4 linked regions of the Alligator mississippiensis genome follow. The protein of the gene in region 1 binds, or shares a complex with, the protein of each later gene. Links are inferred from orthologs where the notes say so. Each region holds a gene or a part of one and is shown on either strand. Other genes may lie near its edges. The genes, in order: TIMM21, TIMM17A, surfeit locus protein 1 and SMIM20.

The links.
Region 2: TIMM21 (region 1) and TIMM17A share a complex: the UniProt entries of both Homo sapiens proteins name them as parts of the TIM23 complex. The link is inferred for Alligator mississippiensis from reciprocal best matches to the Homo sapiens genes TIMM21 and TIMM17A.
Region 3: TIMM21 (region 1) and surfeit locus protein 1 share a complex: the UniProt entries of both Homo sapiens proteins name them as parts of the MITRAC (mitochondrial translation regulation assembly intermediate of cytochrome c oxidase complex) complex. The link is inferred for Alligator mississippiensis from reciprocal best matches to the Homo sapiens genes TIMM21 and SURF1.
Region 4: TIMM21 (region 1) and SMIM20 share a complex: the UniProt entries of both Homo sapiens proteins name them as parts of the MITRAC (mitochondrial translation regulation assembly intermediate of cytochrome c oxidase complex) complex. The link is inferred for Alligator mississippiensis from reciprocal best matches to the Homo sapiens genes TIMM21 and SMIM20.

Annotation. Positions count from the first base shown.
Region 1 is NC_081826.1:107,906,192-107,913,946, forward strand, and holds the start of TIMM21 (mitochondrial import inner membrane translocase subunit Tim21), read left to right. Parts: upstream 1-4,755; 5' UTR 4,756-4,985; coding exon 4,986-5,277; intron 5,278-7,755. UniProt on the Homo sapiens protein: Participates in the translocation of transit peptide-containing proteins across the mitochondrial inner membrane.
Region 2 is NC_081837.1:29,731,987-29,739,363, forward strand, and holds the start of TIMM17A (mitochondrial import inner membrane translocase subunit Tim17-A), read left to right. Parts: upstream 1-4,373; 5' UTR 4,374-4,457; coding exon 4,458-4,483; intron 4,484-7,377. UniProt on the Homo sapiens protein: Essential component of the TIM23 complex, a complex that mediates the translocation of transit peptide-containing proteins across the mitochondrial inner membrane.
Region 3 is NC_081835.1:60,871,595-60,879,141, reverse strand, and holds the start of surfeit locus protein 1, read left to right. Parts: upstream 1-4,532; 5' UTR 4,533-4,579; coding exon 4,580-4,639; intron 4,640-4,863; coding exon 4,864-4,942; intron 4,943-5,584; coding exon 5,585-5,712; intron 5,713-6,064; coding exon 6,065-6,147; intron 6,148-6,855; coding exon 6,856-7,047; intron 7,048-7,384; coding exon 7,385-7,457; intron 7,458-7,547. Other genes in the region: SURF2 (surfeit locus protein 2), read right to left, coding at 997-1,169, 1,772-1,960, 3,094-3,197, 3,943-4,097, 4,301-4,384. UniProt on the Homo sapiens protein: Component of the MITRAC (mitochondrial translation regulation assembly intermediate of cytochrome c oxidase complex) complex, that regulates cytochrome c oxidase assembly.
Region 4 is NC_081825.1:39,731,935-39,739,414, forward strand, and holds the start of SMIM20 (small integral membrane protein 20), read left to right. Parts: upstream 1-4,474; 5' UTR 4,475-4,522; coding exon 4,523-4,631; intron 4,632-7,480.

The sequences.
Region 1 (7,755 bases):
ACTCCTTCACGCTCGGACTCAGATGACCCTTGATCATCACGTCCTCCCGTGATGAGCTGTCGCTGATAGCAAGGCTATTAAATTGGCCCTGGATTTGATCCACTCTGGGCACGTCTACTTGTGAAACCAATTTGATGCAAAAAAAAACTCCCGTGCAGTTTGCAATGGAGTTTTTTTGCGTTGCTTTTACAGGTGCGCCTGACACCACAGTATGTTGAGTCACAGCAGACCAGCCCCAGCAGGCGGGGGGTGCCGGTGGTCCGCCTGCCAGCCTGGGGCTGCTCTGACTCAACATGCTGTGGAGGGGCTAGCTGGGGTACAAAAGTGCTGTGGTGTGGGGCAACCCTAATGCACCAGTCAGCCCTGGTCAGCATCTACATGCGTGTTGCAGCAAAGTAAATAACTCCACCATAGGATCATACCCGTGTTGGGCAGTACTGTCCTATGGCCGAGTTATTTAGTCTATTTCAGTCAAATAGTACCGCATGTGTAGATGCTAACACTTTACTGTGGAGCTAATTAATCAGCTCTGCAGTAAACCTCTCATGTACATGCACCCTGTTTGTGGGAGATCTCGAGTGGGAATAAAATCATTTGTGTTACTCTTCCTTTTCCAGCATTTCTTAAAAACAATGTTCAATAAATTCTTCCTATAACTCTTGTCTGCCTGTTAAACTCATCTTCATTTTCCATCCACATGTATTCAGCAAATGCATTGTTATCTTCATGAGCGTGACCATTAATAATAATCACATCTTCACTGATGATGCTTGGGCTAGGACTGCTGCCATTTGGATCTTTCATGGCTGCACTTCTGATCTGAAGTAGGAGCACGAGTAGCTCTAGATTTTACAAAGTACTCTTGTAGGCTAATGGCATGAACCTTGCCATAGTGCTAGGACATTAAAAAATGGGGGGGGGGAGGGGGTGATACACCTGGTGAGGGGCATCATGGCATCTAAAACTACAGGTGTTTCTCTCTAGGTAAAAAGAAATTAGACACTTTTCCTAACAGGCTAGAGACCCAGGCAGGGCTGTATTATTTAGTGTTAGAGTGAAGAAGAAACAAAGAGAATTTCATTGGAATGAGTTGAAAACTAATTCACAAGGCTATAAGACAGGAGCTGCCTCACCAGGAGCAGGGAACAGGCAGCAGCATAGCATAGCACAATCCCTTTGCTTGGTTGGACACCAAGCCTATTCAAAAGAAGGGAGGAATGCTATACACATACAGATTGAAAAGTTTAGGAGGGATCAGGTAGATGATAATGAGCCAGGAAGTCATAGAGTCATAGAGAAGTAGGCCTGGAAGGGATCTCCAGAGGTCATCCAGTCCCAACCCCCTGACTGATTCAAGTGACTCACTCAGCACTGCCTATTGAGAAATGCTGCTGTCACTGCCAGGCAGTTGATTTTAAACTTTGGGTGGAGCAGAAATCAAAGGGGTGCCTCAAGTCTATCCAAGGGTGCCTTGAGTCTAAAAAGGCTGAGATCCACTGGCAAAGGTGCCAGTCTACTCTGCCTTCTCATACTGGCCACCTGAGTACAAACTGTGGCTCCAGGATCACTGAGAATAATAACAAGTTGTCATATTTAGAGAGGGGGAGTTCTCTGAAGAACTTATGAGAAACTTACTCTTCAGCGCTGGCTAAAGGAGAAGCTTTCTGCTGGAAGAATAATTTGCAAGTATTACTATCCATCCTCAAGAAAGAAAAGTCAGAAGCAGCCACCGAGTCAAAAGACTTCTGTGAATTTAAACTATATGGGAAGTTTGAACTGCCAGAGTTATTCTGCTATTAAGATAATTTGAGACTAAAAAAAGGTCTGACACCTGCTGCTAAATTTCTTACAGGACCCAACTAATAATTAAAATTAAGCCTAAACCATTTAACAGATTTACTTCCAAATTCTCAGAATGTTCCATTTATTCTCAAAGAGCAATTGCTGCCATTTGCATGCATAATAAATACTTTGTCTGCTTTAAGAACAAAACCTAAGTGACAGATCTGTGACTAGCATCTCCAAAATAGCCATTTTGGTACCTGCAGTGTTGGGACTGATTCTTCCAACAAAGTAGATTTATTAGCATATGGTTAACTGTTATTTTAATTTGATCCTTAAATGTATTTTTATACCAACATGTAAAGTTTGAGAGGCACTTGGTATCAGTGGAACCAAAGAAATCATCTACACCAAGGGTTGTAAACTCATCCAGCTCCACGGGTCAGATGAGGATCCCTGGGGCAGTCTGTGAGCAGACTGGGACCAACTCTGTGTGCAGCACATACAGCATGAGGTCCAGCCTGCATGCTGCGTACACCGGTTCCAGGCCTCGCTGTGCATATGGCAGGGAGGTCCAGTATAGGGCACATGCTATATGTGACACAGCCTGATCTACACCAGGTCAGAGCCAGTATGCAGGGCTGGTCCTGCAGAGTGCAACATGCACTGTGTTCCCCTGACTGATCCCCTGTGCCGTGTGCAGGACACACAGTGCCAAGTCTAGACCACATACTGCATGCAGTGCAGGGGGCTAAGGCCAGTACATGGGGTTGATCTGGCCCATAAGTCACAGAACCATATGGCTTCATAGGCCAGATGCAGCCCACAAGCCATATATGTTTGACACCTCTGAACTACACATATATGTGGTTATGGCTGAAATCTAACTCCTATTATATATTCTATATTTCAGTTGCTCATCATTTTCTTAAACAAATTCCCTAAAGAGGTTCATTTTCATGTAAAGTTTGAACAAAATATTTTAAGATATGTTTGAGTAGTGGCTTTATTTATTTTTATATAAATAATAAATATGTATATTGCTGTTGTGCATTTTATATACACATACCCCAAAATGTGTAAATATATTTTATAAAATTAAACACACCCAAACTCAAGTTCTGTCTTCTATAGTACCTTTGTAATACACAGTAGTTGAATTCAGTGAGGTTGCAGAGGTACAATTAATAAAGATCTTGGCCTTAATTGTAGAATAGGGTTTTAAGATACTCAGCTTTGTGATAATTGTGTAACTTCATACAAAACAATACTACAATAAGAGACAAAGGAGCTTGGAAAAGAATGAGAGAGATTATGTTTGTTTGACGTTTGAGCAAGCAGTTGGACTAGATGACCTCCTGAGGTCCCTTCCAACCCTAATTGCCTATGATTCTATAACTTCCCTTTAGGCAGGTCAGTAGCCCTTATATTGCCACAGCTAACTAAGAAAGCAGCATTTCAGGTCATTTATGCAAATCTTAGATCCACCTCCACCCTGCACAGTTCACCTTCCCCTTCTGTGCACAGGAACCACTCCCAACTCCTTCCACCCTATTGTGTTCCCATTCCAGCCAGGGATATAACTCCATGCATAATCCCAAAATAATAATCCCAATTTTAGCCCTATAGCCTAGTGCAGTAGTTCTCAACCTTTTTTGTACCAGAACTCATTTGTAGCCATTGATGGCCAGTCCCAACCCAGTACCCCTCACTCCCAACCCGCTGCCTCAACCCAGACCCCAAGCCCCAGCCCCGCAGTGTATGGGGCAAAGGGGGTGTGAGGAAGGAGGGGGGGAGGGGGAGGGAGCAAGCAGCCCCTCGTAAACTGGAATTCTGCCAGCCTGCAATGGAAAAAACAGTTTCCCATTTTTTTTTCCTTTAAAGGAGAGTCCATTTTTAAAGTCTGTTGATCCATTTATAAAGTTCGCTCCCCACCCTTTCATATATTCTTGCAACCTACCTTTGGGTCACAACCCAGATTGAGAAATGCTGGCCTAGTGGTTAGGGCACTTGCCCAGGAAGTGGAAAATTCAGCTTCTAGCACCCTACCTGCTGCTTCATAAATTTGAAACCTGTACCTCCTGTTTCATAGCAAAGCATACCAACTGCAAGGCCATGGAGAAGGACTCCTCTTGAAACTTAAAAAACTGAAAACCAAGAGCCAGAAGTAAAGCAAATTGAAGGAAATGCAACTCAAAGAGATGGGTGCTGGGTTCTGATCTCCTGCCCCAACTGGTACTTCTAGATTTTGCATTTAATAATCATTCCATAAATTGGGTAGACAGCAGGGTAAATCAGCATGCAGAGCCACTTTAGGTGACCACATAAATCAGCCATGTGATTGCTGGATTTGATCCTCAGTTTAAAAGCAGAACCTCTAACCACAAGGGTAAAGTTCAAAGGAAGGCAAATAATAAATCGAATTGGCCCGATTGCTGCATGCTCACACTCCTGCTTATGCAATTAATGAACAGATTCCCATGTTAAAAACCTTTCAACCCTAACCCCTAATTTTGCAGTGCACATCCAGTCTTTGCAGTATTGGGACCTTACGTCACCAGTTTTCCTCTAGAATAGAAATACTTCCTGATCTGCCCTTTTACAGCTTCATGCAAAAAGCAAGGAGCAACTTGCATTTTTGCAAAACCCTAATGAAAGAAAAGATGTTAACAACCCTTGTTAAGACATTAAACGTTGAAAAAGAAAAGCTGTTTGAACCCCTTTCTAAAACACTGAAAACTGGCAAAGCAGGGAACACACCAAATGCCTAACCCTGGCTGCAGCAGCACGTTACCTACGTGCTCCCCGTGCCCAAGCCAGTGGCTTTCGATTTGATTCGTGTCCTGGATCTTGCTGATTTCAACAGCAGGGGCTGGTGCTTTGCATTCTGGGACTTGTAGTCTTTTGGCCTCCAACCCCCTTAACTCGGGGCAGCAGAAGAGTTTGTGCAAACTACGTTTCCCAGGATCACAGGGACTTTGCAAGGAATAATGGCGGGGCAAGTTGCAAATGTCAGCGAGCAAAGGGGAATGTGGGGTTTTGAGTGAGCCGGCAAGACAAAAAGCAAAAGATTGCTCTAGTTCTTCTTGCTTTCTCAGGGGCTGCACCAGCTCAGCAGCAAGCAAGGTGAGGTTAGCCTTAGCTTGAAGGAAGCTGCGTTGATCTGAGCCTATAGCATTCTCAAAGGCTTGATCTGCCCCAGCATGTTTTCTGCTTCCCTCATGCGAGTGATTCAGTGCAGCGAGAAGCTACAGCTCTCCCCAGGAAAGTGGTTTCTTGCCCCCCATGGGAAAGTGTTTTTAAGGACCTGGTCGTGTTTCAGTGGGAGACACGAACTTGTCCGCAGAGGTGTGCGGCGCCCTCGTATATTTCTCCAAGGCGCAAAGCAAAGTCTCTGGACCCAGGAAGGGTCCCTGAGAGCTGAGAATAACAGCAAACGAGTGTCTGTGCAAAGAAGCCAGAAAGAGGAAGCATCTCTGTCACCTGCTCGGAAAGGTAAGGAGAGGCCCTTTTAAGCCAGTAGCAATTCAGAGCAACATGGAGATGGTGTCACACGAGGGCAGTGGTGCAAAATTGAGTGTCAAAATTGCAATTGAGAGTTGCAGCATTCAGGAAGACTGCTACATCTCAGCCCTCTCTCCCTCCTCCCCTCCTTGACTTTACTTTGCCTTGTTTTGAATTGCTTTCTACACTGTTAGGTATCCAGGCATTGGCGACGCGTAGAGGGTGTACGTTCACCCCCTGAGATTGGCCACCACCGACACCTGTAGGCACTCGCCACTCGCCTCCCCTCCCCGCTGCCGATACCGCTGGCAGTGTCCGCGGGCAGTTGCTGATCGCCACTGGCTGCCGCCAACACTGCCAACAGTGTCTGCGGGTAATCACTGGTTAGTGCTCGCCACCTCTTTCCCTCACCGCTGCCACGGCCACCTGCAGAAGTTTCCCACTCACCGCCGGCACGGCCTCACCACCAACATTGCTGTGCACCCCCCAGCCTCGGGAGTCATGCGACGTTCATGTACCCAGGTTGTAGCTGTATTGGTCTAGAGGAGAAAAGGAATTGTGATCTGTGGTAGATGTGATATCTTTTATTAAACCAACTAGAGCAGTGTAATTACGTTTATTAAATTGCAGTTTAATTCAACTAAAGAAATTTAATTGCAATTAAAGATTATTTTTTTTGCAAAAATCTAGTTGGTCTAATAAAAGATATCACCTCTACCACAAGTCCTGATTCCTTTTTTTTATACACTATTAACTTTTATAGGTACATCTCTCACAGGGTAACATTTCCCTTGCATTACCACCCGTTGCATTGGTTGACTTCTTTGCAACACATGGGTTTGTGAGGCCAGGACCTGACCCACCCAGTGTAAATCAGGGTGGCCTCTGGTAACCTATGTACAGTAGAGGGGGGGACACGTCCAGTTTTGCTAATCCTAGTTCACTATCAGCAAACTTAGTGTCAGTGGGACTTCATTTTCAGAAAATTTTCCTGCTATAAATGGGATGTGACTGGACAGCCAGTAATTTTCCATTTGTGCACATTATATTTCAGATGCCATTATAATCTTTCTGATGCATAATAAATGGCTAAATAACAGGCCTCTTAGATTTAGACCAAGAGAAGGAGACTTAACATTTTGTAGTAACTTGCAGAGTTTCCTAACCTTTTTTATCCGTTATGACTGGGCCTGCTATATGCATAAGCTTGCTGCCAAATTTCTGTTTCCCTTGGGTGTTTCCACACTACATTGCAATCTGCAATATAGACATTTACTTGTATTGAACAGAACCTTAAACTTACTGCAAAAAAACAGAGAGGATTTAAACACCTTGGCTGACTAATATTCTAGGAATTGATTCTCTGCAAGTGGTTGAAACAGTTCAGAAAATAATTCTATATCCACATAATGTCCTGAAGATTAAAACCTGTCTGAATTTAATGACATAAGTGAGTGGTTCTGAAGAGCAGTCCATAAATAGCTGGGTGATTACTTTGCACTGGCTCTATAATTTCGCTGATTTTAAGGCCCAAGGGGCCCATTAGAAAATCTAGTCTGACCTGCGTATCGCAGGCTCTTAAATTTTAACTAATTACCCCTGTATCAACCTATACAACACATCTGACTGAAACAGATCTTCCAGTAAGGAATCCAGTCTTGATCTGAGGAATTAAGAGATAACAGATGTACCATTTACTTTGGTCATTTGTTCAAATGATTAATTGCCTTCATTTTGAAAATTTAATACAGGTAATGCCTTTTTTGCAACAATTGCTTGTTAAAGCAACAGCCACATTTCATCTGAATACACAGCAGTGAAAATATTCCCAGTGATCTATACCGGAGCAAGAGCAGTTTAGGAGCAACAGGGCACGTCTACATGTACATTAATATGCCGTAGTTACTGCACATTAAGTTTAGTACCTATAATAACAGGTACTAACTAGATGCACAGTAACAGGCACTACTGCGCAGTAGCGCATGCCTTTTAAGTGACAGTAATGTGCATTAGACCAATTCTACTGCACATTAGCACAATAGCATGGCTTTTGCCGTGACGCACTAATACATGGTAGAATTACTCTGCCGTGCATTTAGCGTCCCATGCAGCCGTGCCCGCAGAGCACCAGAACACTAGGCTGTTGCTACTGAGAGGTGTTGACTGTACCTTATTTCTTGTCTGCATTTTCCTGGCTCTAGCTTCCAGTAATTAGTTCTTGTTGTTATTTAACAATGCAGTTACAACTGTTACATTGAAAATAGGAAATGCTTTCCTTATGCTACATTTTTGCATCTATGAAAAATACTACTCGCCAGAGAAATGTAGGTGGAAACATTTGCTCCATCTAGTTGCAAAATGGAGGAAAGGAGTCTTACCCCCCCCCCCACACACACATGCACACAAAAAAAAAAAGCGGCATAGCTATTTGAAAAAAAAGGACTTAGGTGCATTTCAGGCACCACAGTT
Region 2 (7,377 bases), on another chromosome or scaffold:
TAAACTGAGGTATTAGCATAACCCCAATGCCCTGTATACCTGCTGTCTTGTAAGTGCTCAGTATATTAAAGGGCCTTACAATGATGTACCCTTAAATATATATGAGAAACCTATGTGTGCATGCAAAAATAAAAATGTTTATTTGACATATATGGAACTATATATTGGCTGCTCCTCCTTGGCAGAATAACGTGTAAGGGCTGAGGAAGTATGTGCTGGGAGTTCACCCCCAGCCTGCACTCTTACATAAGGAATACCCTAATCATACACCTGGAGTAAAATCCTGGCCCTTTGAAATTTCGCCATTCACTTCAGTACCACTAGGATTTTACCTGTTGTGCTCCTGAAGTACCATCTGCCAGGCAGTCAGAGTGCCAAGAGCAATTCAAGCAGGCAATCCATGCTCAACTTCTTATCATCTGAGACTAGGATCTGGAGAGGCACAGTACATTCCTTTTAAACTGTGTAACAGTTTTCACATTGTGTCCTCCACTTAGCCCCTGGAGACATTAAGGATATTGTATAGACATAATTGATGTAGATTTGCATGAGTCAGATCAAGTAGGGCTAACAGTGTAGCTGTGGTAGAATGGATTTCAGGGCAAGCTAAAAATCCTACCTTGGAAGTTGATTAGATACTCTGGTATGTTTTGCAACACATACTGAGCTCTGTCTTACCACAACCACACTGCTAGTGGTGATTGAACTGGCTAGTTTTAAAGCCAGTTCAGGAATGTCTGCCTAAAAAAATTGCAATCATAGCAGTGACCGCAGTATAGACATACCATCAGTCTCTCTCTCTTCATCCCATGCACAAAGGATCTGGAAATCAGTCATGGTGCTAGTCTGCATCCATAACGTACATTAGTGGTTGATAAAACATTAGTACAGCTCACATTTTCTTACAGTTGAATAGGCCAGAAGAGAACAAGAATCAAGCTGAAGGACTGGGTTTTGTGAGAAACCATAAAGAATAGTACTGGGCTTTGTTTTAGTTAACATTTTAATTAATGATTTAGAAGGAGTAATTGGCACTGTAATGAAATAAACAATGCATTCTAAGGCACTCTGAACATCAAGAAAGAAATAATATAGCAGTGTACAGAGGAAGGCTAGGAGAAGTATAAGGACATTCTATCTGAGGATGTTATGTATTTCACCAGCAAAATTCAGTTGAGACCACACCACAGAATGCACCATGGGATCTAGGACAGTTCTAAGTCCTCCAGAAGGTAAGAATCTCATCCCCCGTGCTCTTGGCACCCACTCTTTTTCCCTTTGGCCTCAACAGCATGTCCCTTCCTTTCCCCTTCCATTCTCCCCCTCCTCCACCAGCCCCTGTGCTGTCACTGTTGCTGTCCTCAACTGATCTGGAAGTGGAAGGGGAAAGGGGGTCTCAAGTGCTGCTCCTGCCTGGCTCCCACTTGGAACAGCAGCAGCAGCAGCAGCAAGGTTCCTCCTCCCTGCCTGTCCCTCAGCTTGTGGTTTGGGAGGGTTGTGGGGTGGAGGAGGATTCCAGTGCAGCTGTAGCCAGGCTTTGCAGGAGACAGCAACAATGATGGCAAATGGGTTCCCCCACTCTGTACTTTCTGTACTTGCTCCTGAGCTGGAAGGGAACACCCACACAGACTGGGCAGTGCAGAAGAACCCACTGCTGCTGTTCCTGGTTGGAGCAACTCTGGAGCCTCCCAATCCTGGATCAGCCGAGGACAGCAACAGTGCCGAGCAGGGGAACAGGAGGGAGGGGAAGTGCTGCTGGGGAGGGAGCAGAAGGGTGGGAGTGCTAAGAGATGGGATAAGGAGATGGGATTTTTACTTTTTGGTGACTTACAAGAAATCCCTGGTTGCTGTTCCCACCCTGTGATTGGAAAAGAGTGTTTATCTGCTCAACTGCACCCCCTCTAGATCTGTTTCTGCTTTCCCATGTCACATTCCTGGTTATGACTGCTGCAGCCATGGTATGTGGGACACTGTGGGCATGTCTACATGTGCATTAATGCACTTTAGTTAATGCGCATTGAATACCATTGTTAGGTATTAACCTCATGGTGTACCTCCATTGTGAGGCATTAACTAAAGAACACAGTTTTTTTAGTGATGCTTAATGCTCATTAGCTTATTTTAATGTGCTTCAACTAATTAGTATGGGGCATTTATACAAGTGCTCTGGGAGGGGGGAGGCACTTTAATTAGTGCAGCTCTGAGAGCTGTGCTAATTAAAAGCGCCCAGAGTGTCATGTGTATCAGCATCCCCACACTGAAAAATGGCAGTGGGGCACTTTGAACTAAAGCTCATCAAACCAGCTTTAGTTTAAAGTGCCTCACCCCCATTTTTCAGCATGGGGACACTGATACATGGTGATGCTAGAGGCTACCAGAGTGCATTAATTTCCATGCTCCAGCAGACTCTATTATTTGAGTCTGCTTCAACGCACTGGAATTCCAGTGTGTTGGAGCAGGCTCCCTGCACATGTATAGGAGCCCATGGGTTTTTAGTGACACTTTAATGTTCATTAAAGTAGGCTAATGCACATTAAAGTGCATGTGTAGATGTGCCCTGTATGTCCAAGAATCCATAGATTTTGGAGGCCAATCTGAGCAGTTTCCTCAAAGTCTGAATATGAAAGTGGATCTGCTTGTTCCCTTGCATTTCATTTGGTCCAGTCAGTACCTAATTTATCAGAGAAAAAGACATGAAGCATTTTAGGAAAACTTGAATCTTACTGGGTGCGTCTACATGTGCGTTGGACTGCACAGTTGTTACCACACAATCATTTAGTGCTTGCTTAAGCACATACTAAATGCCTGTGCAATAACCAACGTTACTGTGCAGCTCCAAAGCTGCGCACGTTGTTTCTGATGCTACTGCACTGTAACCCATTGCTACAGCAGAGTAGCTTGGGCATCATGGTTCATGCCTGCTGACACTACGTCACCATAGTAACAAGCTATGGCAATGTAGCTCATCGCTATAGCAACATAGTCTTGTGTAGACGCACCCACTGTTAACCTAATATTTCCACAACTTCCAAATGACAGTGGTAGGTAGGAGTGGATACAGAACTAGGTGGATCGGATCAGACAGGTCAGACTGACACGGGAAATGAACTCCACGTTAGAAATATCACTTTTCAGGTTTTATGGACATCTCAGAGCCAGGATACAGAGCTTGGACTGGAACAGTTTTCCACTCTTTCCTTCTGTCCATTTTTTCCTCCTAATGTCCTTTTCTCAGCACAGTCCTTACAGAAGCCACACTACCACCTTCTGGTATCCTCCGTTATTACCACATCACTATACACCCTTTCCTTTCACTGCTTCCTCTTAAAGCAAAGTTGCAGAATTCAGAATAGAACCAGTATCTTCTATATGCAAAACTATTTTTAACCACTCCAAAAAGAGTAAAGGGAAAGGGGGAAAGTTTTTATTTATTCCATTGCCTCAATCCATGACAATATTTGCATCACTTGCGTCCAAAAATAACAAGCTAGGAAAATTTTTTTTTAAAATTCCTACAATGCTAAATGTGTAAGATTAAATTAGAACAGTTTATTAAAACCATAGGTGATTTTAGGGGAGGTACAGGGTGGGGGGGTACATGCCCCCCCTGAGATAGGCCTCTGGCTTTTGCAGGCAGTTGCTGCTTGCACTCCCTCCCCCACTGCTGACGTGACCAGCAGCATCTGCAGACGGTCCCCACTTGCCGACACCGACGTCGGGGGCTGCAGGTGGTCCCCGCTCGCTGCCATGGTGCCCCCCAGTCTCGGGAGGCACCAGTCGTTCATGATTAAAACTGACTTATTTACTCTTTATAGAGCTTGAGCACATTTCTGAAAGAATGTTCTAAGTCCTTTGCTCCCTGTACCGCTATTTCCTTTCAACATCACGACCGCTCAAGCTTTCAGCTATTTCTTAGTGCAACTCCCAGATCCCCCTACTATTAATAACTCCTTTAAAGAATCTCCCCCACAGTTAATAGGTGCCTCAGTTACAGGATCCTCAGGCACGCCACGTCACTTGGAATTAAAGCTGCTTCCCCCCAGTCCTTAGGTGTCTAGCACATCTACCTGTGTTCAGAGATAGTAAAAGAGGAGCTTGTAAATATTAAAGTTTGTTGTTAGATTCCGTTTGCAGCACGTGCACATCTACCTTCATTTAAGAAGTTAAGAGGATTAGATGAAATGACCACCCCGCCTCACAACACGGGTTTGTACCGCGTCCTAACTCCTTAGGGCAAAGACCATGAGCCCGCCGGCGCCTAGGCGCTGCGCGCGCCGCCTCTGCCAAGGGGGGCGGGGCTTCCGCGGGGCCCAACCCCTTCCGTTGAAGCGTCACTCGGACGAACGCCATTGGCTAGCGCCTGAGGCCGGGAGCCAATCCGGTGGCGCCAGGGTCCCCTGCGAACGTGCGGTGCGTCATGCGCCCCGTGAGCCGGTTCTGCCGCTACCGCGTGCGCCATGGAGGAGTACGTGCGCGATCCCTGGTGAGCAGGACCCAGCGGGCCGCGCCCAGCCCGGCTGAGGGAAGCCGGGCCCCGCGGGGCGGGGGGCGGCCTGGGCACGAGGCAGCGGGGAGGCCCTGGGCTGCCCCGGCGCCTCCGTCTGTCCCGCGCGCGGCGGAGGCCGAGCTGGACTCGCAGCCACGCACCGCCGGCGCCCGGCGCGCCTCCCGACGAGCCTCCCTGCCCAACATGGCCGCCGCCGGGCGCTTGGGGCCTTGACTGCCCTTGGACCCGCCGCGGCCGGGTGGAGGTGAAGGTTAAGGCTCAACACACTCGCCGGGCTCGGCCTCGCTGGCAGCTGTGCTCCGTCCTCCGGGAAACGCTCTCCCTGGTGCTCGGGTTTCTTAAAAACGCTGACGTTTCTTTGCGGGGCCGCATTTGGGACAGTCGCAGCCCCGGCGTGAAGTTTTGTGCTGCAGTGACTGACGTTTTCTTTCGTTCTCCTGTTTTAACAGGGTTGTATTGGGGAGGGAGGGGCATGGTAATGTCAGACAACTAAATTGGGCAGCGTTTCAGATTCTTGTTCAGGCAGAGACTTAGTAGTGGCCCGTATTGCGTGTGGGAAGGAACAGCAAATGGAAAAAGCCCTTCCAGAGATGGCTTATTAGTGGACCGTTGTTACTGGTCGGATCCCAGCGCTGCCCCTCGGGAAGCCGGCGGGAGTGATGGGCTGCAGGAGGTGCTGGCTGCAGCAGCAGGTCGGGCTCTGGTTGCTAAGCCTTCCTTCCCCCCCAGCCTGTCCTGACCCACCCAATCCCAAGGGAAGGGGTGTTGGAGCCAGGAGCCCACATGGAGGCAGAGCCGGCCCGGCCCAAGGACATGCAGCTCAGGCTGGGCTGGCTCCATGCCACCATGTGCAGCTCCTGGCACTACAGATGGGGGCTGCACGCCATGGGGCTGGGCTGGGCTGGCTGTGTTCCTCTGTTCTTCCAGAATTGCAGCCTTGGGAGCCGTGCGCCCTTGGGCCAGACTGGCCTTTTGCCTCCAGGTGCAGCTCCCTGCTGGAGTACCAGGAGCCCCATATGGAAGCACAGAGCCGGCTTGGCCCAATGGCACATGTCTCCCTGCAGTTCCCAGCACTCCAGCTGGGAGCTATGGGGAGCTGCACTTCACCAGGCTGGGCTGGCCCTGTGCTACCAGGTGTGGCTCCTGGTGCTCCAGCCAGGAGCTGCATGCCATTGGGCTGGGCTTGTTCTGTGCCTCCACATGCAGCTCCCCGCTGGAGTGCTGGGAGCCCTATGTCATGGCATGGAGCCAGCTCGGACTGATGGTGCACGGCTCCCTGCAGCTGCTAGCACTCCAGTAGGAAGCTGTGTGCCATCAGCCCGGGAGCTACACATCATTGGACGAGGCCAGGCCGGCTCTGTGCTGCCACATGCAACTCCCGGGACTCAGTTGGAGCTGTGCACTGCCCAGGGTGCCACCTGACACAGGCCATGAGTACCCTGAGGGCTAGGGCTGCCACTGCTGCTGGCACCATGGGGGAACGGGGGTATGTGACACACACCCCACACCACACCCCCACAAACCACCCAACCAAACCTCATGTATCCTCCCCCTCCACACATAATGTACTTTTTTAATAGAAAATATAAAATTTTATTCCACTTGCAAACATCGCTTTACCAGATATACATATAAACATAGATTCCCAAAATAAAATTATATATAAACTTCTCCATCTGTCTTGAATCACCCAGTTTCATAATCTATTTCCTCATGTTTATGACACACGAGCACTTATTTTCATGTTGACTTAACTTCAATTCTAAGTTTATACAACGACATAATACCTATGTCTCCTTTATGTATCTGCAAATTCTTTTCTTTCTTTTACCATTTCCGTACATTCTATCTATATGCATTTATTCGTCTATATTCATGTATGTCTACATATATACATATTTATATTTATTCAGCCTTGACTCGTCTTTCCATTTATTTTATTAAACCTCTCCCCTGAGGGGTTACATTCTTTGATTTCTTTCCCCCCCACACAATATACAAAGATAGGTTAGTACATCCCATCTTTCCCATTTCCAATGATTACTGTTTCTTCACCAGCCTTTAGATGTCTGGCAGACATCACCAAACAGGGCCTCAGACAGTTCACCCAGAATTCCTCTGTTGCCCCTCTCTCAGCCTGGCGCATGTGATTAGGGTGGCCGCACCGTACATGAGATGAAGCTGGATGAGGTTGCCCTATGTCTCATCTGCATATAAATTTTTCAGGACTCCTCATAAGAACACACAGTTCCAGACATGTGGAGGGCTTTTCGGCATGTCGGTCCTTTGCGGGTATCTAGAATACATGTACATCCTGAACAGTGCTGAGCTGTGGAATCACAGTGGTTTGACGTGCTGTTGACTCTGGTGGGGTCCAGTCCAATGAGCCTTTTGTAAATCATGAGCCTTTTTGGCTTTGGAATAATGTCATGTATAGTTTATGCTATATCCTGATAGGGGTACTACCATGATCACCAGGTTTTCTCAGAATGAAGCTTCTCTGTTGCATTCCAGGCAGGCTGACCTATGCAAGTTTCCCAAATGTGGGAAAATCAGCTGCACAGTTCTGTGGTAATGGGAGATTGTGATTGTATTTTCTCCTTGGTGTGTTCCTTTGGCCTTCTGGCTAGGAGAAGCATGACTAGGAGGTATCTGAACTTGTAACACCTTTGGAATTGGTGCCTGCATGTAGGATGCTTGCTATGTATTTGGGGAGTCTCCTAAGTTCCAGATTGATGGGTCCAGGAGGGAGGAGACTTGCCCAGTGGTACAGCCACACAGATTTGAACAATTGAGCTTGGCCCAGTCAATTCAAAACTAATTTAGCCTTAAGCCAGGGAAAAAAAAAGTTTATGTTAGGTATAGAAGTG
Region 3 (7,547 bases), on another chromosome or scaffold:
TTGCCTACAATCTGCAAGCTATTGTACCCTTCCTCCGCTTTGTCGTCACGTTAAATGGCAATACAGGCAACCCTCCCCATTCGCTGGGGATACGTTTTTGTATCCCCCCCACGAATGGCGAAATCTGCAAATAAGGCACTGCGTTCATGTGCGCTGGGGCAGGGGGACGCAGCTCCAGCGGGAGCAATCACAAAGCTCCTGAGGAGTGCTTGTAAGTGTATGAAGTGCATTTAAAATGAGAATTCGGCATTCGCGAATATTTGAAACCGCAAATGCCAAACCCGCAAATAGCAAAGCTTTCCTGTACTGCCAACCTGGCTGCAGACGTGAATCAAACTACCACAGACTCTGATCTCCCAAGACTGGCATGTTCCTAACAGCAAGGAATCCACTTCCTTCGCTCAGGACTTTCTTTTAGAGTTGGACTTATCAGCAAGGATTTTTCCAAAATCCCTATACCTGCTATATACAGGGGCCATGAAGTCCAGCTGCTTCCCAAACACACAGCAGGGATTTGGATGCAAAGATGTGCAGGATCAGGACAGAGATGTACTCTGGGGAGGAGATCCACTGTACAGCATCTGGGTAGTTACTGAAGGGAGCTGGGGAAATAAGAGCGAATATACTAACCCTATGTCAAGGGATTTGATTAATGCGGGGAAGAGATTTTACAGCCCAATCCCCTTGCTTTTCAAAGCAAAGTGTAGGAGGGCTGATATGGAGATCTGATAATTACACAGACAGGAACAAAGAGCCTCAGGAAGATGAATGTCTACCAAGAAATGGTAGGCTTATGGTCTACGCCAGCTGCTCACTGTTAGAAACTTCCATGCAAGGAAATGTTAGGCTTTCATTTGCCCCTCTCACAGGTCAGCAGAGCAGATGGACTATTGGTGCAAACATGCAGGATACCGTCCCTGTGCTCCCATACAGAGGTTCACCTCATGTCCCAAGCTCAACGCGGGTCACTGCTTTCCACAGCAGTGCAGCACTCACCTTTCCCCTTTTGCTGCCTTGTCCATCCAGGTCCATTTTCTCACTCTTCTCCCCATTCACATCCCCATTTTCCCCAGCCGGCTTGGCCTTGTCTTCTTCACTGTCTGTCATAAAGTCGTCGCTGTCTTCCCCACGTCCTGCAGCTGCTGGGATTTTTTCTGGGAAGAGCTCAGCTAAAACACAAGGCAAGACCCAGATGGGGCCAGATTCTGCTTCACACGGGCACCTGCTCTCACTCCACTTCAGAGACATCCTAACAGGGGTTTCAGGGACATCCTAATGGGGGAACGGACCAAGCTGAAGCATTAGACTCCAACCTCTATCACCAAAGGCCTTCAGTGACCAACTGGTATGTTACTACTGAAACACCTGGAAGGCAAATAAGCTGACAGCACATCAGTAGCAATGGGCCCAGGACCCTTAGTAATCCAAGTACAGGAGACGTTCAGCCCATGATCCTCTAATGTGTGGGCTCCCCGCTGGCCAGGCATCAACAGAACTGCCATCCTGGCCCGCTCCTGCTGCTGCCCTTTCAAAGTAGCAAAGTTCTGCCTCTTTCCATAGAGTCTTGCCCATTTTTACGCATGACCAAGAAGTCCTCTCCTCATCCCACTCCCTGTGCTGCTAATGGGGATTCGTAGATGTTAGGGGCTGGTCATCGGGTCCAGCCCCCCTGCACTTGAAACAGACTTGCCTTTCTAGTGAGTGCCAGGAAGGACCGAGGGAGGAGAGGGGGTCCGTTTACAATATTCAGAAACGCCAAAGCTTTGCTCACGTGGGTACAGGTCGCTCATGCTGTCGTCACTGTCCTCCTCGTCCTCATTGCTGGACGCGGGCTCCCAGAAATCCCCCCTCTTGCACGGCGGCTTGCTCCCCTTCGGCTGGTCATCATGCCGCCGCTGCCGCTTCTTCTGCAGCAGGCAAGCAGGCACATACTCCGTGCCCTCCTTCTGGCACTCCTCATCTAGTTAGGGAACAGAACAGGGGGACTCAGCTAGGATCACACACAGAAATGCAAGCAATTCAGCAGCTTGCTGGCCTAATAGAGGAAGATAGCGAACCAGAGGTACAGCAAGGTCCTGGGTAGCTAGTCAGTGCAGTATGAATTGCAACTGCACCTTTCACAGACCATGCCCCTGCAGAGACCTAGGGAGACACCAAAGCCAATGGATGCAAAATGGGAGCGCGCACTTCAATCTTGCTGCCCTGGCAGCAATTGTAGCAGGGGTGTGCACCGAGCCTGACACCTTTTGCAAGAGCCAAACATCCCCAGAGACCCAAGTCTATTCTGTCCAGAGAAGTCCAGCACTGCAGTTTCCTTCACACCCTGCTCCTACTCTGACCAGGACATGCCTCTAGCGGTGGCAGCGCAATTCAGTCTGCACGTTCCATTCAAACCTAGCTTCTGGGATGCAAACACAAACACAAACACCTCCCATGGTAGGGGGTGCTGGCTTTTACAAAGCAAACACTTGTTCCCAGGAACACCAAGCTCACTACATGCAGGCCAACAAGCAGCCGTCGGGTAGGACTGGCATTCAGTCACTACCTAATTGAGCCAAACACTGCCACCAGAGATCTACAAGCTTCAGTCCCTTTACTGATAAAACAACACTGCCAGGCTCATCTTGACTCTCATCAAGTCCCCACAGATATAAGCCACCATCCAAACTTCCACTAGTTGGTGGCTGAACGTAAGGTGCTCAAGCTGGGACATGCAGACAGCTGGCAAATCCCTCAGGGCTGGCTTCTCCAGCTGCTAAACTGTATTGACAGGGAGTTAAAATATTAGGCATTCCCATAATTGTATGTTCAGTGTTAATGCCAGAGATACCACATGATGCCATAGATAGAAAAGCATCCACTGCACAACCTCTGTATTTAAGCATTAGCTGCAGTACAAAAAGGTCTGAGAACCTCTGCTCTAAAGCAAAGACACTGCTTTGCCAACTAGAGAAAAAAACTGCAAACAGCAGGCAGGAGTGCTGTTGTTACTGGCAAGTTGTCGAGAGCTTCCCCAACACTTCCCACCTACCAGGCTGGGCGCCACGAGTACAGATCAAGAAAGATGTTGCAGAAGGCGCTAGCACCACTTACATTTTTTCAGCGCCTTCTGATAGCGCTTCCCTTGGACATGACGCAGCACGTGCTCCGGGACCCTGTTGATGTGCCTGAGCGTGAGCTTGCAAAACAGCTGGTGTCTACAGGAAGAGACATGGATGTGAGCACAGCAAAGTCAGCAAATGGAACGGTCCACGTCTGAGTAATGAAACAACGCTGTAGCCGTGACGGTCCAAAAAACATGCAAGAGGCTCAGACTCTTGTGGGTCCTCTCTTTTATGGTGGGGATAGATTTAGATGAGCTTTTGGGATATCACAAATCTTGGGCCTCTGAGAGAGAAGCAGATGGAGACCCGAAGGAGGGCACTGCGGTCTAAGCCTGTCCCAACCAAGCAGCTGCCCCAATAACAGACATCACCTGTGAGAGTCCTTGCCTCTCACATTGCTCCTGGGTGGGCGGTTTAAGTCAGGGGCGTCAAAACATGGCCTACGGAACCGTTCCAGCCGGCTTGCTGCTGATCCAGCAGACAACCGGTGTGGGCAGTGGAGCATGTCCTGCCACAGGATTCGGGGTGCGTAGGCCCCCATTGCACATGCCCACCAGCAACAGGGGGAGAGAGGGCTATGCAGACACCACCCTCGCTTGCCTGGCTGCTGGCCATCCCTGGACCCGCTCTGCTGCCTGAACGCAGACCTGCCCTGCTGGGCCCAGGGGAGCCCGCACAGTTCGACGCTGCCCCGAGGCCTGTGCAAGTTCGACACCCCTGCTCGAAGGCAACAGCCAGCAAAGCTGCATTGCAAAAGCTTTCCCAGCCCAGCAAGCAGCTTCCCTCCAAAGCACCGAGGCCTCCTCCCTGCCCCAGCCGCCAGCACGGGGTTACGCACGGGTTCTTGGTGCTGGGCACGATGTGGGGTTCGTAGTCGCTGTAGTTGAAGGCGCCAGGTGTCCCGCTCAGCCGCAGGTACCTCTTGCCGCTGGTGTAGGCCTGCAGCTCGGGCAGCCGGCAGGGCAGCTCATGCCCCGTCAGCTCGCAGCGTACCTGGGGCGAGGGGGGAAGAGACGTGTGAGACGCCAGCTCCTGCACCCGCCCCTCACGCAGGGTCTGGACAACGGTCCAGGCATGGGCGGTTTCTGATTCCTGCTCCACCCAAAGCTGAACACCAGCTGCCACGCAGCGGCACCCCCCCGCGTGTCACCCCCCCCGCGCTGCTCCCCCGCGTGGGGACCCGCCCCTGGGCTCACCCGGGTGTCCCCGCCCGGCCCCAGCGGGCGCAGCGCCGGGTGCCGCTGCAGGAAGCGCCGCACGTCCTGGGGCAGCGCGCACATGGCCCCAAGGCCCCGCGCCCCGCCCACCGGAAGTGCCCGCGGCCGCCGGAACCATAGAGACGCGCTGTCACTAGGGCACTCCCCACTTCCGGCAGAAGTAGATGTGCCCGCGACCACCGGAACCATAGAGACTACCAGTCTCTACCAGTGAGTCCCCACTTCCGGTGGAAGCGGAAGCGGAAGCGGCTGTGGACAATGGCTGCGGGCGGCGGGCGCTGCCTTGGGAGGCTGCTGCAGCTCCGGGGCTGTGCCCAGGTGGGAGCGCGGGGGGGGGGCGGGACGGGGGTGGCAGGGGGGTTCCCCCCTTCCTCTGCCAGCCCCCCTGCTTCTCGGCTCGGGCCCTAGACATGACATCATCCTTTTGGATCATTTCAAGCTCCCTTTCCCAGCAAATAACATCTTCCGAAGCCGCCCTGATCGCTCGAGGCTCGAGCGCGCAAAGCAGGGGCGTGACACGGCATCTCTTTGCTTTTGTTTAGATACCAAATGTTTCGGTCAGGACGTTTTTTGCATATCCTCGTACAAAAGCACGGTCCGGTTTGCTACAGGGATCTAAAGGTAAGGAAAAATGTCGTCTTTCCTTCAGGTCCGACACTCAGCTGCCGTCGTGTTCCAGCCGGGGATGTCTGATGCAGCTTTCTCTACCTGTGCTGCTTGCCAATAGTATGTGACATGAGGAAGAAAGGGGGAAAGCTTGTGTTTTGGCAGTTATATAAAATCATTGGCGATGCTAGGGGTGCACGTGCACCCCTGGAAGTGCCAGCCATGAAACTGGAAGTGCACTTCCAGTTTTGCTGCTGGCTTGGTAATTGGCCACTGGGTGACACCCCCTCCCCCCCCCCAATCGGCAATCTGGTGCCCCCCGGACTTGGGAGGCACCACTTGCCCGTGTGTAAAATGCATTAGAATTAATTGAAATGAAGAGGTTCCATAAATAGAGGTCTTTTACGCTTGTCAAAGGATGCTGAGATGATTTATAATGTCGTCTGAAGACTTAAGCCTCCAATACAGTATCACTGTGTAGAGTAGATAATGTAAGTAAAATAGCTTAATTAAAGGAGTCAGAGAACATTAGGACCGAGTCAGTAGCATGGTAGCTGGGAAGCTTGGTAAACATCAGTTCCTGATGCTGCAAACCCTGCAGGGAGGTAAGCTGGTTTCTCTTATAGTAACTGTGTTTCTAATTTGAATTCACTCCAGACGTTTGTTTGAGACTCCGGAGACCAAAAAGTGGCACAGCAGATGTCATCGAATCTGGAGAGGATGTTGCGTTCAGGTGGGGCCTTTTACTGATCCCTGTGACCACATTTTGCCTTGGCACATGGCAGGTAAATGAAAACATTTCACTCTTTAGAAATCAAAGTACGCACATGGGTATCAGTTGAGAACTGCCTTAGCCAGCCAGAGGGACTTATCCGTGTCAAAATAAAAATTAGTCAGTGTTGTTTGGCATCTTTAATTTGGGCTGTTTCAACAAGTCCAGGCAATTCTTTTGTTGGAAAATTTAATTTTACTTTCCATCCCCGCAAGGAAATAGGTATTTCAATTTTCATGTCTCCAATTATCCTGTTAAAGACCAGTGTGATCCCAGCATTGAGGAAAACATGAATTTTGTTTTCAAACTTGCAAGAAGTTATTAGCAGCAGCCCCCATGATGATGCCATTGCTGTGTGTTCCCAGGTCCAGCGCCGGAAGAGGAAGTTGAAACTGATTGCAGACCTCGAGTCAAGAGTTGGATCAGAGCCTGTTCCTCTGCCTTCAGAGTAAGTGTAGAAGCTGGGTTTACACTTGATGATTCATGTAGCATCAGCAATCTACTAGGAATTTGGGACATGGTCCTTGCCCTGAGGAACTTGCACACTAATAGACAACATGGGAGCAGCAAGCAGTGTAGACAAACTAGAAAGAAAAATATGGTGGTTCATCTTATTTTAAACATGAGCTGTGAATGCTTCCCTGGAAAGCATTATGTGCTACCAAAAATGCACGTGTTACAAAAAGCCATGTGGATAGACAAGGTCCTTGCACTGTTCAGACAAATCTGAGGCACAGAACAAGTGCATGTGGCCATCTGGTATAGAGTGTCAAGGTTCAAGGGTCAGGAAGGGAAGGAGAATTACTGTTGACTTGACCTCCACATGCTATGTCTACAGGAAAAAGGCCCTTCCCAGCTGGTGTTGAGTTCTGCCAGTGACACAGGAATTACACCTGGGTATACCCAGGATACTAACAACTCATGCTATTCACTAGCGTGCTGCTAAACTGTAGTCGGATGCTTAACTCATTGGGGATTTTGTTTCTCTGTCTGCTACTGCTGATCCTTTTTTTTTTTTTTCTTCAGTTGATTTGCCAGTTGTCCATTTGGGGAATAAAAAAACAGAGGGGACCCCGTAATTCCGCTAAAGGTTTAACTGTCTGGCTCTGGTGGCCCAGAGACTGCTCTCATCCCAGTGCATCTTGTTCCCTTACAGCCCTGCAGAGCTGAAGGAGCTGGAGTACAGGTCTGTCAAGGTTCGAGGGTATTTTGATCACTCCAAAGAGCTCTACGTTATGCCACGTTCACGGGTAGATCCTAAGCGAGAGGCCAGAGAAGCTGGACGACTGACATCCAGTCCGGACAATGGAGCAAACATCATTACTCCCTTCTACTGCACAGACCTTGGGTATGTTCAGCTACTAGCTGGAGGACTCTAGGCTTATGCAGGGCTGCAGCAGGCACTTTGTTTCTTCCCAGCAGCAGCTGAATTGCAGCTGTCAGGTTAGTTCAAAGGAGAGCAGTGATGTATACAAGAGAAAAGAAAAAAGCCTCTCAGATGGTCTACTCAGTTGGTAACCCTTGACTTCCAAGTGCATTTAAAACCCATTTTAATTTGCTTCCTGTTACCTGGAAAGTGGTTTTCAAACACGTAGATCGCTAATCTTTTTGGCATGTAGTTTCAGTGATGGGAGTTCTCTTGCTAACACTTATTTTTCTCTCTCCGTTCTTACTTGTACCTGCAGTATCACAATCCTAGTGAACCGAGGCTTTGTCCCAAAAAAGAAGTTGAAACCAGAGACCAGACTGAATGGTCAGGTAAGAGGAACCAGTTAGATCTCTCACCCGCTACCCTGGAAGCAACTGTTAATATGCCAGCTGAGGCATTAGACTAGGGGTGGCCAGTCA
Region 4 (7,480 bases), on another chromosome or scaffold:
TGTAAAAATAAAAATTTATAAATGTATATGTGCCTTCCTATATAAATTCTATAGTATAATATGCAACATAATTATGAAATTGAAAAGAATAAATCAATTAATATTATAATAAAATTAATGGGTCTAGAAAGAAAGCAAAAGGTATTGAGGAATCCCACTTGCTAGGCTAGCAAGTAGGAAATCAAATCAATGCTAGTAGTAGCCTTTGTTGTCTAACGTTCCTGAGGTGGAAGATAGCTCAGTAACTGACCCCAAGGCAGAAAGCAGGCCATTTCAAACAATGCTGCCTTTTATTCTGTTTTTCCATCCCTCCCCCAGAGCACTGGGATTGGAAGGGATCTCAGGGAAGGATCACAGTCACTGGCCAGCTACACAGTCAATAACAGAGCATTCCTTCCCCCTTCTTCCCCATCCCTCTCCTTACTTTCTGTTTCCCTGCAGGCAAGCCCAGCTTCAGCTTTGAAATGTTTCAAAACTTTCAAAAAGTTTCAACTGCCCTCATTTCATTTCAAGGCTGTTTTGAAGCCCTTCGTTTCATTTCAATTTTTCTGTTTCGAGCTTGAAACGAGTCGAAACAGTGTCAAAATGAACAGCCAGTGAAATTTCTCACAGTCCTATTAATCAGGGCCAGAACAGTATTCCACAATGGGAAAAGGTGTCTACATGAGTCTACACATCCAAAGCTTAGCAGGTATTGCCCATGGCTGTCATTGGGCCAGGGCAGGTACACTGTCTGAGTCCGTCTTTGCTTTTGGTTGTTTCAGAGTTGGTATGTCTCCCTCAGATTCAGCTGTTCTTTTATATATTTTGGAGGATCAGAGGTACAGTTCTCCTGAGCCAGGTAAAAGCTTTCCCATGGAGGGAAGAATTTCAAAGGCTGAGAACTGGCATATCTAGTCATGGAATTTTGCATTAATCCCTTGTCTCAAATGATTCTGTTGGAAATGCATCCATTGAAATAGGGACATTAGGAAACAATTTCCCTTGATACAACTGCCTTTATAGTATGTCACACGTAAATAAAATAGCTCTGAAATGATTCCAAAACATCACCTCAATAGACAACTGGAGAAATTGTAGATTTTGATAGGAATACCCTGCAAATGAAAGGTGATGAACTGACAGGGGTGGCCTGTTTGACATATTTTTGATAACACATATAACACAAACTCCAAAGAAAACAGCTTGGGTGAAAAGCTATCTGTTAAATAGCATCATAAGAAAGTAGGGCTGGGAGCACTGGTGATGCATAGGGGCTGCATGCAGGTGCATGTGCACCCCTTGCAAAAAGCGCTGCAGACGCTGCCAGCGGTGCCTATGGGTGGTTGCCACTCACCACTCCTCCCCACCCAGTGGCACCCCCCCTCGGTAGCAACTGCAAGTGGTCGCTGACTGCTGGTTGGCGCTCGCCAACTCTCCCCACCACCCGCTGCCGACACTGCCATGGCCGCCTGCGGGAGCTCCTCACTTGCTGCCAACTGACCCCTCCTCCACTGCCTCTGACACCTGCGGGCGGTCATGACCCCCCAGCCTCTGGGGGCATGCGGTGTTCATGGCTGGAAGGGACCTCAGAAGGTCATCTAATCCAGCTCCTTGCTTGAAGCAGGATCATTCCTGACTAAAGCATCCCAGCCAAGTGTCTAACCTGCTTTTGAAAGTTTCCAAGGATGGAGATTTCACAACTTCTCTAGGCAGCCTGACCACCCTCATAGTAAGAAAGTTCCTTTTAATCTTCAGCCCGAATTTCTACTGCTGGAGCTTGAGGTTATTACTCCTAGTCCTGTCCCCTACTGCCACAGAGAAGCATCTAAATGCTGCTACCCCTTCTGCTAATGACAGAGAAATCTCTCAATTCACCTCTGATATATATATATATATATATAAGATGACCTCTCTTAGAAATCAGAGAAGACTGGCTGACATTTCTTTAAAAAACAACAAACCCTTCAAAGTATGTAAGGGACTGGATTTTTCTAACACCCATGTCATACTGGTTATCTGCAGAAAAAATCAATTTGGCCTCCTACCCCTACTATTTGAGATCATAGATAAAAATATTACAAAACCTCAATAGTACCCGCCTGTATTCACTTAAGCCTGCAACTTTAGCAGCATTTCTGTTGTGTTTAATACCCCTCACATTTATATGCTTTTCTGCATCATGATGTCATGGAATCATAGAAAAGTAGGTCTGGAAGGGACCTCCAGAGGTCATCTAATCCAACCGTGTCAGAGGCAGTATCATCCCTATCCAAACCATCCTATCCAAATGCATTGTCTAACCTATTAGCAAAGCCACAGTCAGCCCTGACACAACTAAGTCTAACAACTAGAAAGGAAACATGGGAGCTAAGCTAAAGGGAGACTGAAGTGAGTTGCTGCTCATGAAAGCTCTTATACTGTTATTCAATTATGATATAGAAGTGGTTCTTGGGCTTTTTCAGACTCAAGGCACCCCTGGCTAGACCCAAGGCACCCTTCCAAAACTGCCAGCTCTTGTTTTTTGACTAAAATAAAACAGAGCAATAAAATAAAAATAACAGTGCTAACATGGCATGGCCTTGTTACAGCCTTGAGACAATCCCAAGACACTCCAGTGGTGCTGCCTCACCTGGTTGAGAATCACTGATCTGTAGGATGCACCCTAGTCCAACCCCTGCCTAAGGAAGGATCATCCCTATCCAAACCAGCCTATAGGTTTCCCTCGCTTTATGCGGGTTCTGTATGTGTGAATTTGCTCTTATGCAACAACCCTTTTTATACCAAAAATACATTATATGCGAGGTAAATTCACTCTTATGTGATTGGTGTGGTGGAAGCCTGCAGTCAGCTGCTTTGTGCAGTGCATTGTAGGAGTGATGCGCACTAAAATATAGTCTCTTGTGTGGTTCTGTGCTCCTGACTTGTTGTCTGAGACATGTGTTTCTGTAGTTGCCATCCCCATTATGAGTGTGCCCTGTTGGTGAGTACCAGAATTGTCTTGTAAAAGTGGCAGAAATGGGTCTGGGAGTCAGAACAGTCAAGGTCTTGGAACGTATCCCTATTTCTTACACCATAAAGTGGGTCCCTTTATGCAAAATTGAGTTATGCGCTGTTTTCCAGGAATTCGTGTACCGCATAAAGCAAGGAAACTTGTACAAATCCACTGTCTAGCCCAGGGGTCGACAACCCCCGGCATCTGTGCCAAGCATGGCACGCGAGGCCATTTTGCTTAGCACCCACAGCCAGCCCCAGCTCTAAGATGCTTCCAGCAGGGCTTGCAGCATCCCAGCTGCCTGCTGGGAGCCGCCCGGGCTCCCGGCTGGCAGCAGCTCCCCAGAGCCAAGGCGGGTGCAGCCGGGAGCTCCAAACAGCTGTGCCGGGCTCCGGCATCAGCTCCACACTGGCGCTTGCACCCGCGCCTTAGAGCAGGCGGCGAAGGCGGGGCTGAGGCAGCGCAGCCCCGGTCTCCCCCCACCCCGCTCCGGGCACGGAGGTGATGGCGGGCTTCCAGAGCCCGGCGCTGCTGTTTGTAGCCAGCCTGGGCTCTGGGCAGCTGCAGCAAGCAAGCAGGGGGCAGGCTGCAAACAGCTGCGCGGGGCTCTGGAAGCCCGCCATCACCTCCGTGCCGGGAGCGGGGTGGGGGGAGGCCGGGGCTGCGCTGCCTCAGCCCCGTCAGCTCTGACACGCAGGCGCACGCGCCGGTGCGGAGCTGATGCCGGAGCCCGGGGCCCCGCGCAGCTGTTTGGAGCCTCCCGGCTGCAATTGACCCCGGCTCTGGGGAGCTGCTGACAGCCACAGAGCCCAGGCTGGGAGAAAGGGGCTTTGGGTGGGGGGCGAGGGGCAGTAGAGGTGGGGGCACAGGGCATGGGGCAAGAGGCTTTGGGTGGGGGGCAAGGGGCACAAGCAGGGCATCCTGCTATGTACCCCTTGCCGGCACCGCGGCACCTTCCAAGGTAGGCACTGTGGTGTTTTTCGGCACTCCGGGCAAAAAACGTTGCTTACCCCTGGTCTAGCCTCTGGGCGCTCAGCCTCCAGCCCATGCGCCAAACGGAGCGCAAACCCTCGGAATCGGGCCTGTGCGGGTCCCCGGAGGCCAGGACACGTGGCGGCAGTTAATACCGCCAGCCCCGCGCCTGCTTCCCCCCGCCAGGCCAGGGTGGGGCCGTGCCCCCGCCGCCCAGCGCAGCTGGGTCAGGGCTGGCCCGGGCCCCCCGCACTGCCCGCTCCCGCGTGGCTGGGCTCGGGCGGGTGGAAAGGCCCGTGCAGTATGCGAGTGCGGTGATGCACCAGGCCGCTACCGGCCCAGGTGAGACCCGGCAGGCGACACCCACAAGAAGGGAAATGACGAGTAGGAGAGAAGGGCAGCGCGTGCCGGGGGGACCGTGACGCACAAGATCAACTCAGTGATGTCAAAGTCAAGCAGGGGCGGGGCGGATGCGGGGCAGGAGAGGCACCTCCCACGCAGGGGGAGGGCGTTGCCGTGACGCAAGTTCTTCCCGGCGTGCCCCGCGCCCCGCGGAAGCGGGTACTTCCGGCGGCGATGGCGCGAGTTTCCCGCGCGCTGCTCATCTTCGGCAGTTTCGTGGCCGCAGTGGGGGCGGTGGTTTACCCCATCTACGTCCTGCCGCTGCAGCAGATAGAGCGCTACAGTGAGTGGCCCCGCGGGCTCCGCCCTGCCAGCGCGGTGCAGCGGGACGCCTCGCCCCGCCCCGCCCGTCGCTTCCTCGGGGCCACTGGCCCCTTTCCGTGCGGGCCGGGGCAAGGGGGCGCTGGCGGCTCCCGGCTCTAGTCGGAGAGGGCGAGTCCCTGCCTGAGGACACGGCTGCGCCCCTTTTTGTCGCGTCCCTGGTGGGCACGGTGGGTGGCATCGAAGGGGAGGCCAGGGGGTAGAGGGACGTGCAACTCTTGGCTGTGCCTCCGAGCCTGTTCTGCAAAGCACCACACTTCTAGCTAGAGAGAGTGGTCACCCACAACTGGAAAAATAATGTAACTGGTAGTCGGCTTTTTTTGGCCAGAAACATCCCCAATAAACGCCGCATGCACACGTGCAGCCGCAGCTGGCACATGCAGCAGCTAAGAAAGTAGCCTGGCAGTTTGGAGAGCAGTGTCTTGCCCTGCCAATAAGTCTGCTGGGAAGGGGCATGAGGGTGCAGATGGAGGCCAGGGTGGTGAGGGAGGGAGTGGGGCAGTGAACGGGATCCTGGGGCTGGGAGCAGGGTGGAGTCACTGGAGTCACAGGTGGCTCGTCCATGGAGGCATGTGTCCCCTTCCCCCGCCCCCGATTTGTGCATGGGGCAAGGGTGGGCTGCCCACTGCTGGCCCAGGACGTGCCAGCCTCTTATTAGCAGGGGGCTGGACAGTCTCCACTGCACAGGCAGGTGGTGGTGCTGGGAAGGCTGGCTATGGGGGGGCTATGGAAACTATTGGGGTGATTAGAGCCCCCAAAGCCCCTCCCCTAGCACCGCCCCTGCTCTGGGCACTCTGCTGCCTTTCACTCAGGAGCCCCCTGCTGTGGGGTGGGCAGGGACTTGTGGCCAGAGGGGCCCCTGAGGGAAAAGGCAGTAGAGTGGAGTGCCTTAAGCAAGGGTGGTGCTGGGGGTGCGCTCTAGCAATCACAAAATTCCCCATAGCCTCCCCACTCCCCCACCCCATAGCCAACCCTCCCAGCACTGCCACCTTCCCCCATGCATCTGAGTCTGCCCTTCTCCCGCCCAAGCATAGCCCCATCCCAGTCCCCCTGCTGGGAAGAGGCTGGTGCTGCCCCTGGCCATGAGCACGCAGCAGACAGTCCACCCTCACCCGCGCACAAGTCTGGGGGGGAATATGTCCCCCATGCATCTCCCAGGGGCACTAGCTGTGGTGGGGAGCCACTCTCCCTCCCTACCTCCCCTTGCCCCCAGACGACTTGCCTGCGACTCCATCCAGCTCCTGGCCCTGGGGTCCCATTCACCGCCCTGGCTGGGCAGTTCCTGCTCCTGCCCCATTCCTTCCCTCACCATGGGGGCCTCGATCTGCCCCCCCATGTTCCTTCCCTCCCCTGGGAGGGGAATCTAGCTGTCCCTGCAGTCAGGTTCCCATAGCAACGGCCAGGGCACTCTGCCAGTGCTCCCTGTTTTCAGAATGGGAAGGGGAACGGCAATGGGGAGAGCTCATTCTCGGGGCTCCCTGCTGGTGCTGAAGGGTGAGGTGGGTGAATTGGGCCCCCCCATCTCTGGCGGGGGGGCTCCAATATTCCTGCCCCACCTCCCGGGGTCAACCCCCCCCCCCCCCCCCAGACTGAACTCCTTTTCCCTTTCCTTCCTCCCATTCTGAAAGCAGCGACGGGCTGGGAGCTCCACAGACACAGGTTACAGAAGGCGCTATATTTTGAAATATCTTTATTTGATACTTCATGTAACGAAGGGTCAGATTTCACCAGATTGGCCATTTTTAAGCTGTCTGCAGCCGAGCAGTTGTTTGGTCACAGCTATAGACTGCTTTCTGTGGCGAGATTGGATGAAAATTGTCACTTCTGTCTGCATCTTCAATTATGTTTGTATATTTATATGTTTGTATATTTATTTACTTCACAGCATAACTTTTGGATGCCCATGAGTTGACTGTATTTTGAGACATGTTTGGAGATCTATGTGTATATCACACTTCAGGTGTCAGGAAATAAAAAAGACACTATTTATTTATTTACCTATATGTATAAATAAAATGTGTATTTATTTTTACTTCAGCATGATTGTGAAGTAACATGCTTCCGACACCTCAAGTTGGATATATTTGGCGACTGTGTTGTTTTTTTTTTCTTTCTCTCTCTCTCTCCCCCCCCAGGTATACCCAACTTTATAGCATGATTTTTGGACACCTTAAAGTATTGTGCTTCAGACACCTGAAGTTGGATATATTTGGATATCATGTATATCATGGGTTCCCAAACTGGTACGTGTACTCCTGGGAGTACGTGACATCTTTAGGGGGTACACTGGAGAAATTGCGTAACAGTGGATTTTAATGTCCATTATAATAATTGTCATTAAGGGGTTAAAATATAAAATGTATGGTAGTAGGGGCATGGGGGCAGCTGATTAAATCTGGAAGGGGTACACAATAAGAAAAAGTTTGGGAACCTCTCATATGTATAATGGATAATCTCCAATTATATCCGACTTTTGGGTGTCCAAAACATGTTACTTCACAACCATGCTGAAGTAAAAATAAATAAACTTTTAAAGATTTTGTGTGTGTAAAATCTCTATATATACATTTATTTATTTATTTATTTTAGCATTTAAAGAAGCACAAGAGCTTGTTACGCTCATGTGGCTTCCTTGCAGTTTGGTTATAAGAACCTGAAACTGACATTTGACATTCATTGCTGTGAGAGAGAAATTTTGTATCACTTTTGCTGGGCACAAAAGTATTCACTAGCACCTCATGCCTTAACCTTCATTTTTTGCTGGTTTTAATAGATGTTTGTTTAGCAACCATGAAAGTGAATGGTGATTCT